Mus musculus: one gene and its partner. Each later gene encodes a partner of the first gene's protein in a complex. Links are inferred from orthologs where the notes say so. Each region holds a gene or a part of one and is shown on either strand. Other genes may lie near its edges.

Region 1 (4,659 bases):
TAAGACTTCAAGGAATGTTCCCAGGCTCCGACTCCTTCCTGAGCAATCCCCAGGGACAGCCCCAGGAGACAGTGTGTGAATGAAGGTAATCACCTTAGCGTTCTTCCAGTTGGAAATACAAGGCGGGATCTTCCACTCTTGTTGTTCCTTTACAGTCATCTGAAAGCAGGTGAGAAGAGACGTGTTTATTACAGTCTAACTGGAAGCCCAAATACGACCCTCCCCACGGACATCTCTACATGCATCAACACAGGACGACAATTGCAGTAAAATCTCTGCTGGGGTGGACTATGGCGTGAACTGTAGTCACAGGAGCACTAATGTGAAGAAAGGAGAAGAGTTCAGATTATCAGAAATGTTAGACAGTACTTTTCCATACTTAGACATGGCTGACTGGGAGGAGTGGGGCAATATGGCAGCTTTCAGATGAAAACGGCAACTGTGCAACTCAAAAAGGATCTGTCCACTCCCTGACTTCAGAGCTCGAGCTGCTGCGGGTAAGCCAGCATGCTCCCACGGACTCATTCTCAGAAGCACACCGAACTATACTTTAGTCTTAACTGGGTCCATTTAGTTCGTAAAACTAGAATCACAAGTGAGACTTGACTATAGCAGGATTACCTTCCGACTAGGAGAGTGCATTACAGGTGCAGGAGGAGACGGTGGTCCCCGGGGAATTTTCTTATTAATCCTGAAGAATAAATTAGAGAGAAACAGTCAGAGCACAAGGCTTGCTTTTGTCAGCTGGTAAATACGGCCACTGTCACCACTCACCTCACAGTACAATGCACTCCCAGGTTGATAAAAGTGACCCACAATGAATTAAACATGACGCATACGACCCAGTCACCTGGGTAACAATCTAGACAGTGAGCATCCTCACCCCTCACCTTGTGCATGACCCAGATCTCTCCCCACCCACTTCTCCATGGGCAACCACTCGACTGTCTATAACTAAGTGTAAATTCACTTTCTAGAATTCTTTAAAATTAATTCATTTAATATCTGTGTGTGAGGTAGGTATGCATGTACCCTGGGAAGTGTGGACGTCAGAGAACAACTATCAAGGAGTGGGTTCATGTCTCATGCCATGTGAGTTCAAGGAACTGACCTCTAGTCATCGGATTGGCAGAAAGTGTCTTTAACCTCTGAGCCATCCAGCTGACACCATGGTCTAGAGTTTTATATATACACACAGAAACATAACATTGTATTATGTGTTTCTGTCTGGCTTCTTTCATGTAGTGTAATTATTTTCAGACTCATCTGAAAAGGCTTTTCTTGGCCTAATATTCCAGGTACTGATGTACCAATGTTTGCTTATCTATTTACCTGTTGATGAACATGTGGGACACTTTTCTTGTTTGATACTTAAAAATATAAATATATTTATGTAAGTACAGTGTAGCTGTCTTCAGATACACCAGAAGGTGGCATTGGATTTTAGATGGTTCTAAGACACCATGTGGCATAAGATTGCTGGGAATTGAACTTCAGACCTCTGGAAGAGCAGTCAGTGCTCTTAACCACTAAGCCATCTCTCCAGCTCCCTCTTGTTTGATACTTTAAAACAGCAGCAGTTCACTCTTGTGAAACAGTATACTTACTTGAATCTTGGAGGCTCCATTGGGTCTTTCTGCATTTCTACCATCCGAATGACCCTCTGTTTAGCTCCAGAATTGAATGCTACTCCTTGCTGAGATGGTGTGTAGCTAAAGAAAGTAGATTAAAATTAAAGGTGTAATTAGTTCAAGCTTTGTTGGTAGGTATTTGTCTTTTACTACAGTCCAAAGTGACCATACTTCCAACTCTGCAGAAAGTTCTGATATAAAATCACCACACATTTAGGCAGGGCAGCCAGATACAGACTAGAAAAGCAACAGAAACCGAGTCACAAACAAGATGTGCACTCGAGTGCTTAGTGACTTCCCTTCTCATCCTCTCCACATCCCACCTGGGAAGTACTCCTCCTCAGCTTCGCAGGTCGAAAGCACCTACTTTCTCTCCCCATTATGGGAAAAAAATTGCCAGGGCTAGAAAGATGGCTCTGCTGTTAACAGCACTGACTGTTCTTCCAGAGGACCCAGGTTCAATTCCCAATACCGATATCCAATCACACTGCCTGCAACTTCAATTCATGCGGATCCCTCTTTGTGGCCTTGCAGGGTACTGGGCATGCAGGCAAAACCCTACTAACTCCATGTTTTCCTTTTTGCTCTATTCCAAGCATTCCTCACACAGTCCACTGAAGGCCCTCAACATTTAGGAACATTATAAGTGTTTATTAAATATAAAAAAAAAAGATAAACAATTGTGGTTTGGGTCATATACAACAGGAAAGGGGCTTATTCTCTAAAAAGAAACAAACCCCTAAAAATCAAAACCATAACCATTTGAAGATCACAATGGTTAACACCTCTTTTTCTTGAGACAGGGTCTCATACCAAGTAATCTTGGCAGCCCTAAGACTTAAGAGATCCAAAGGACTTTTTTTTTTTTTTTTTTTTTTTTTAAGATTTATTTATTGTTATATGTAGGTACACTGTAGCTGTCTTCAGACACACCAGAAGAGGGCATCGGAGCATCGGATATCATTGCAGATGGTTGTGAGCCACCATGTGGTTGCTGGGATTTGAACTCAGGGCCTTTGGAAGAGCAGTCAGTGCTCTTACCCGCTGAGCCATCTCACCAGCCCCCCCAAAGGACTTTTCTTATGCATTTGCACCCACCCAGCTCTAACAGTTACCATCCAAACGTGTGTATGTTAAAGAACTTCTGCAAGCAGGAGTTAACAGGCTTTGTAGGCTGGGGAGAGTTATTGAAATCCCACCTATTGAGTCTGACATGCAACTAACTCTTCCATACCGGATATACTGAGCAGGAGCCAGCTTGTCAGCTGCACGAACTGGCATGGCTGCAGCAACCTTCTGCGACACAGATTTCTCCAAGGCAACTCTAGTCTTTTCTGTTATCTGAAACAAGAAGCACCATGTTGAGTGGTTTGGAAATTAGTAAGGACATAAAGTCATCTAAAATCATCACATGCATCAATTCCTCGTTACCTCTTTAATTGCCTCTTCATCGGGCCGTTGCAGGTCTGGGTCATCTGCATTCATAACCTCCTTAGGAACCAGGTCAGTGTATTTGCTGTAAATGACCTAGAGTCCAAACACAAGCAGGCTTAGGGATACAGAGAATGGAAAAGCAGCCTCATTAAGTCAAAGTCAGTCTAGATGTCAACACGTTCTTGTAGCATATTTTCACATTTAGGATACCTAGCTTTGTGGTTCAGATTTTAAAACTAAAATTGCTTAAAATACTCAAGTCAGTATCCAGATACATTCTGCCAATAAGATCTTGTGCGTTAGTGATCTCTAGTTGAGGCTCACTACAACTTGAAATTGATGACGATACGCATTGCCTATGGCTCCACTGTTTTCCTGTCTGTCTTTGTGAGAGACAACCTGACCAAACCCTCAGGGAGGAAAGGTTTACTTGGCTTACAATTCCAAGTCAGAGTCTATTGCTGAGAGAAGTCACGGCAGAACTCGCACTGCTAGTACTCACATCAGACCCAGTCAGAAGCAGAGACAATGACCCTCGCTGTTTGCTCCCATTTAGCCTTCTTTCCTTACACAGTACAGGAATCTCTCTGTCTAGGGACTGTGGTGCCTATAGTGGCCTGACTTCTACATGTGGCCAACTCCGTTTAGACAATTCCTCAACTGAGGCTCCCTTCCCAAGTGATTCTGGGGTTATAGCAAATTAACAAGACAAACGAATTATCCCAGTATATAACTTGTTCTATATTCAATTTTAGGATTACTTCATGAATTCTATCAGGACCAGCAAAGTTCCTAACTCACCCTCAAATAAGATAGGGCCACATATCAGACATACCCAAGTGCCTGGCTCAGAACATTCTACACAAGGTATTTATTTCCCAGAGTTGTAAACTGAAATGTTTAGCTTACTGTGTTGAAGAATGAAAAGGATTGGAAAAGAGAGAATTTAGCAGAGGTTTAACTGACACACGAGCCACCGCTAGCATCATGTTTTAAGCGTGTTTACTTCATAAGGAACCGAGAAGCACACAACAATGAGAAGAGTAAGGATCAGTACATGAGGACCACATAGCAGGAACCCACCTCAAAAGCCGGATTCCTTTTTAGGGTGTGAAAAATCTACCCCACCACAAACTGAAAATCTTCTAACACGGCAGAAGAGCACTGAGATTACCACCAAGAGTTGACCACTTTTACACGGCAGTCATCACAGGGAGCTCCTAAGTCAATGGCTTCCAAGTAGTCATGTTTGTTTGACATAGTCTCAATACTAATTTAGTACATAAGAGCCATTTTGTGCTTATTTGGGTATTCCAAAGTTAGCAGGAGTGAGATTCTAGCATCTTACAAGGCAGAGTGAGGGGCATCTGAGGAGCAGGATTCCTCTGTGATAATTGACTATGAAGTCTGGCATCCTACAGCCTGAAAACCTAATGTGCCGGAGAAACTCGGCATATCTCAGTACGCAACATGGCTGGGAGGAGTCCTCGGAAAACTACTCAGAAGGTAGGAGCATAGAGATTTACTCATTAGAGAAAAGCAGGCCCGGGTATGGATATAGCTTCTGGCCTCTACAGGCACAGGCATATTCACA
Region 2 (5,397 bases), on another chromosome or scaffold:
GCAACTTCCCCATGGCCCCCAAGCCAGAAGAGCAGCGCTTGAAACTGATTTCTTTCAGACTTTGGTTTGTTTGATATTTGAGACAGGGTTTCTCTGTGAAGTCCTGGCTGACGGGAACTCACTCCGGTAGGTCAGGCTGGCCTCAAACTCAGAGATCCACCTGCCTCTGCTTTCTAAGTGTTAGAACTAAAGGTATGCATCACCACTGCCTGGCTCCAGTTCCTTAAGATCTTAAATATTCTACATATGAAAGACCTTGGAGGGCTGGTGAGATGGCTCAGTGGGTAAAAGCACCCGACTGCTCTTCCAAAGGTCCGGAGTTCAAATCCCAGCAACCACATGGTGGCTCACAACCATCTGACTCCCTCTTCTAGAGTGTCTGAAGACAGCTACAGTGTACTTACATATAATAAATAAATAAATAAATAAATAAATCTTTAAAAAAAAAAAAAAAAAAGAAAGACCTTGGAATTAGGAACTTGAGAAAAGCTGGGGCTGGAGAGATGGCTCAGTGTTTAAGACCACTGGCTGTTTTTCCAGAGGATCTGGGTTCAATTTCCAGCACCCACATGCCAGCTCACAAATATCTGTAACTCCACCTCTCACACCCTCACGGACATATATGCAGGAAAAACACCAATGCACATAAAATAAAAAATAAAGGAGAAAAAAAGGAATTTGAGGAAAAACTAGCTTAATAGTTTGTAATGGCTATTCCTAGTTGTCAACTATGTCTGGAATGAACTAAATTCCAGAATTGGGGGGCACACCTGTGATCCAGATCTTGAGGCTGGAAGACTCAGGCTTCTGATCTGGATCTTGGCATGGAGATCTTGAGGCACAGTGGCTGTGAAAAGCTTAGGTCCAGGCAAGGTATAACATGCCTTTAATCCCAGGAGGCAAGGAGAACTCTGATTCAAAGTCAGCCTGGGACAAAGCAAGTCCCAGATCCAGGTGTGGTGTACACGCCTTAATGTAGGCCACACCTTCTGCTGGAGGCCTACATAAGACCACTGGAAGAAGGAAGACTCACTCTTCTTCCACTGCTTGCACTTACTTGCCAAGCACATCTTTAGAACCTATTTATACAAGACCAGCTGAAACAACCAGCCTTGTGGGACTGAGCAACTATTAGATTCTTAGACTTCTCATTCACAGCTGCCCATTGTTGTAACCCAACAACATGACTACAAACTGTAAGTCATTACAATAAATTACCTCAATATAGACAGATATTCCATAAGTTTTGTAACTTTCCATATTCCTTATGCTCTAATACATAGTTCTAAGAGTTTTTTGTTTGTTTGTTTGGTTGGTTGGTTGGTTTGGTTTGGTTTTTCGAGACAGGGTTTCTCTGTGTAGTCCTGGCTGTCCTGGAGCTCACTCTGTAGACCAGGCTGGCCTCAAACTCAGAAGTCTGCTTACCTCTGCCTCCCAAGTGCTGGGATTAAAGGCGTCGCCACCACTGCCCGGCTGGTTCTAAGTTTTTGTCTTAAGATTTTCCAAGGCCAGGCATGGAGTGCTCACCTTTAATCCCAACACTTGAGGGATAGAAGCAGGCAGATCTTTGTGAATATGAGGTCACCTTGGTCTAAATAGCAGGGTTTCAGGACAGCCAGGGCTACAAACAAACAAAAAGTACACCACCGTGCTCTACTAATGTTACAATTCTCTCTTTTTGAATGTATTTATTTATTGCACTTTTTAAAATATAGGAGTGCTCTGTCTGCATGTGTACCTACATGCCAGAAGAGATCCCTTTTGGATGGTTGTGAGCCACCATGTGGTTGCTAAGAATTGAACTCAGGACTTCTGGAAGAGCCCCCTGCGTTCCTAACCACTGAGGCATCTCACCAAGCCCTAATGTTCCTAATAAGTATGATTATTCTACAATTTTCCACTTGCTAAAAAATTTATTTTAAAATCATAAACCACCGGGCAGTGGTGGTGCACGCCTTTAATCCCAGCACTTGGGAGGCAGAGGTAAGCAGATTTCTGAGGCTAGCCTGGTCTACAGAGTGAGTTCCAGGACAGCCAGGGCTACACAGAGAAACCCTGTCTCAAAAAACAAACAAACAAAAAACCCAAAAAACAAAAAACCTGAAAAAATGATGGTTTACGATTTCTTTTATATATATGAGTACACTGTAGCTGTCTTCAGACACCCCAGAAGAGGGCGCCAGATCTCATTATGGATGGTTGTGAACCATCATGTGGTTGCTGGGAATTGAACTCAGGACCTCTGGAAGAGCAGTCAGTGCTCTTAACTGCTGAGCCATCTGTCCAGCCCCTACCATCATTTAAAAAAAATATTTCCACAAGATTATTATTTCTCAGAATACAATCTGGAGAGCAATAACTTTAAAGTCATCTATTTCCTTCTACCCTTTTCCACTCCTGGCTTTCCCATTCCACGGACCTGTGCTTCCTCCGGCAGCAACTGTTATAGTGGGGAGCTCTGTGTAGAGCATTCTGGGTGATGATTCGAGTCTGGGTTAGCAAAGGAGCCTGGTGATGAAGAGACAGAGTTAGAGCTGTTAGGAGCAAACGTTCCCTCAAGCCTGTTGTGTGAAGTATAGCCCTGTCTAAACCACACCTGATGCCCTCTCACCTCAGTTTTGCTTTCTGTCTTCAATTCGTTCTGCTGTCTTGGATTTTGCTCTGTTCCCTTGCCTGTTTGCTTTTTGCCATAGAAAAGCTTCAGACCTGAGAACAAAAGCAAGGAGGAATGAAAAGCACAATGCCTGGTGGCTTGCTCTCCATCTCCCGCCCTCCCCACTTCTCTGATACTTACTGGACAAATGCTTCTTGCCTGCACGGTGGGCTGTCAACATGGCCAGCGTGTCTAGTACTGGTCGATGGGGGCAGATGGCACAAGCAAAGCTAGGGAAACGAGAAGTGAATGATGTGTGTGGTGTGTGGTGTGTATGTTGTGTGTTCGAGAGCCTGCAGTCGGGGTGTTCTTGCTATGGTGAGTAGGTCCTACTTCTGTCAGAGTACTCCACCACCAACTCCCAGGTTTCCCGATCTCCACCCCTTACACTTCACTTCCAGCCAAAGAGTCCTATTATACTCCTGAACTCCTTAGTGACAAAAGTTTGTTGAGCCTTTGATCCCCGAATCCCCAGGCTTGATCCACTCTTCGCTCTCACCGTCCATCCCGCAGCATCAGTGCCTCGTCCTCAGGGATGTAACTAGCCAGCAGGTCCCCAACTCTCCGTTTCTGCAGGGAGCAGGATAGGAGAAATGAGTAAGAGGGACGGATGGAAATGAAATAGTATGGATAAGGAGTCAAATGGCACACGGGGCTATGCAGATCATAGGGTAGTAGGGGTCACCACTCAGTTCTGGTCCCCTAAGCCCTCCCCTAGATGTCGCCAGAGCAACAAAACAAAACAACAGGGCGGCTGAAGGTGATCAGACTCTCACTAAGGCTTACTTTGAGCACATTGAGTTGACTCCAGTCGTCCCCTTCCCTCTTAAAAGACATAGCGACTGTGAGACTACGATAAATTCCCCTACGCCTACTTCGCTGCTCCTTTAGGCCACCGTAGAAAGAGTACACTATCGCCTTCTCTGCTTCCGGTTTCTTTCTTGTTGAATCTGTACTTCCGGGGATGATGTTCCACGCTTGCGTCGCGCGAACCGGAAGACCCGCCTCCAGCGCCCTGAGGGGGCCTGCATTTCCTACAATACTTTGAGACGCTGTGCCTTTTGGGAAATGAAGTCTTTTGGTTATTTATTTTATTTTTTTATTTTTTTGAAGAGCACACTGCTCACCTGGACACAGGACCTCACATCTCGAAGGATCCAGGTGTTCGGAGACTCAAGATCCTGTATGTGGAGCCGGAATTTCAGGGTGGGACCTTCCTGATGTGGAGCGAGGCGTCAGGGATCTCAGTGGACTATATACTACAAACTCTTGCTGTCCTCAGGCTCGTACTCCTCAGCCACAACCTACCTGGGGTGGGCCTTATTTGGAACAGAGAGGATGTGGGAGCACCCGGCATCCCGACTGTTGGATGTGGGGATACACTGAGGGAAGAGTGTTGATGAGGGTGTCTAGGGTTCAAAGGTCAGAGATCAGGCTTGCGAGGAGTTGGGGAGGGGGCGTCGAAAGTCAACCGGGTCAGCGACTGACAGCTCAGGGAAGATACTTATGGGTAAGGAGCTCGTGGAAAGAGAAATGTAACCGGCCTGGCAGACTTCTTAAGAGACGGACAGTAACTCCAGGCACGGCAAGAAGCAGCAAGAGGAGGACGACGAATGTAGTCTCTCGAGAGTCGGGAGACTGTAGAGAGACGAGAGAAGAGAAAACGAATTATCTGAATATCCATTCCTTGGGTTCGGCCGTCACTGTTACTTAGCTGGGCTTCCCTCAGTTGTGACCCTAGGTCTTGACAGTGAGGAGATGGCTTCTCCCTCTAGACAGCCTCCCCTCGGGGGGTCAGGGCTGCTGCATGGGAGCCGTGCTCGTTCTTATGGAAGCCTGGTACAATCATCCTGCTCCCCAGTGAGGGAAAGACGCCTGGAGCATCAATTGGAGCCTGGAGACACCCTGGCTGGATTAGCACTCAAATACGGGGTAACGGTGAGTCTTCCAGAATTGAGATAGTCCCGAGAAAGTGGGTGGCCCGCTAAGATGCCCCCTCTCACATTATTTAAATTCTATTATGGTCTGTTTTTTTTCTTCCTTATTTTGCTTTCACATCTCAGCAGAGCACTGTTGGGACAGATCTGCCCAACTATCCCAGTGGGAGGAGCAACTCCTGTAGATGGTGAGGGAGGTGGGTGAGTGGGGGCGGGGCTTACAGCCATTAACTGGACTTGTGTCCCTATCAACTTAAGACTGATAAACCAGTTTGATCAAGGTCGAATCACTTAAGTGTCAGAGTAAGGTTTCTGTCTGACTCTAAAGCCGGTACTATTAGCCATGCGGGGGTGGGGTAGGGGTGGGGGTGGGGATGTAGAGACTGGTAAGGAAGAGCTGACTTTTACTAGCACTCTGAAGGTGCCCATTTGTAGTTCTTATTTCCACCCCAAGGCTCTGTTTTCTTTGTGCAGAGGCACAAAACAAGTCCCCTCTACATACTTCAAGTGTTTCAGGTCATCTTTAGGAGAGGTTTGATGGGCATAAAAAATATCTTGCATTAAAGTTGCAGCCTTCCTGTCTATATCCTGTTTTACCACATACAAACAAATGTTGGGTTTAGATAAATTCCTGTGCCACTCTACTTAAAGCATAAGGTAAGCCTTTCTGGAGACACAGCATACGTTTGTCGATGTGCTCATGGAATTTAAATTCTCATGAGGAGCAGAGAAGAAACAAGAAATGCTGTAAGGAATATCCACAAGGGGTCGGAGATCCAGAACTATTGAGTCTTGCTCGGAAGTGGG

Evidence for each region. Proteins that work in one complex are often made in the same cells at the same time.
Region 2: Snw1 (region 1) and Scnm1 share a complex: the UniProt entries of both Homo sapiens proteins name them as parts of the minor spliceosome. The link is inferred for Mus musculus from reciprocal best matches to the Homo sapiens genes SNW1 and SCNM1.

What each region holds. Positions count from the first base shown.
Region 1 is NC_000078.6:87,458,800-87,463,458, forward strand, and holds part of Snw1 (SNW domain-containing protein 1), read right to left. Parts: intron 3,159-4,659; coding exon 3,063-3,158; intron 2,973-3,062; coding exon 2,866-2,972; intron 1,713-2,865; coding exon 1,608-1,712; intron 692-1,607; coding exon 622-691; intron 160-621; coding exon 94-159; intron 1-93. UniProt on the Homo sapiens protein: Involved in pre-mRNA splicing as component of the spliceosome. As a component of the minor spliceosome, involved in the splicing of U12-type introns in pre-mRNAs.
Region 2 is NC_000069.6:95,130,406-95,135,802, forward strand, and holds the start of Scnm1 (sodium channel modifier 1), read right to left. Parts: upstream 3,608-5,397; 5' UTR 3,491-3,607; coding exon 3,440-3,490; intron 3,224-3,439; coding exon 3,153-3,223; intron 2,884-3,152; coding exon 2,795-2,883; intron 2,707-2,794; coding exon 2,612-2,706; intron 2,509-2,611; coding exon 2,420-2,508; intron 1,622-2,419; coding exon of another isoform or gene 1,582-1,621; exon of another isoform or gene 1,401-1,581; intron 1-1,400. Other genes in the region: Lysmd1 (lysM and putative peptidoglycan-binding domain-containing protein 1), read left to right, coding at 4,412-4,591. UniProt on the Homo sapiens protein: As a component of the minor spliceosome, involved in the splicing of U12-type introns in pre-mRNAs. Plays a role in the regulation of primary cilia length and Hedgehog signaling.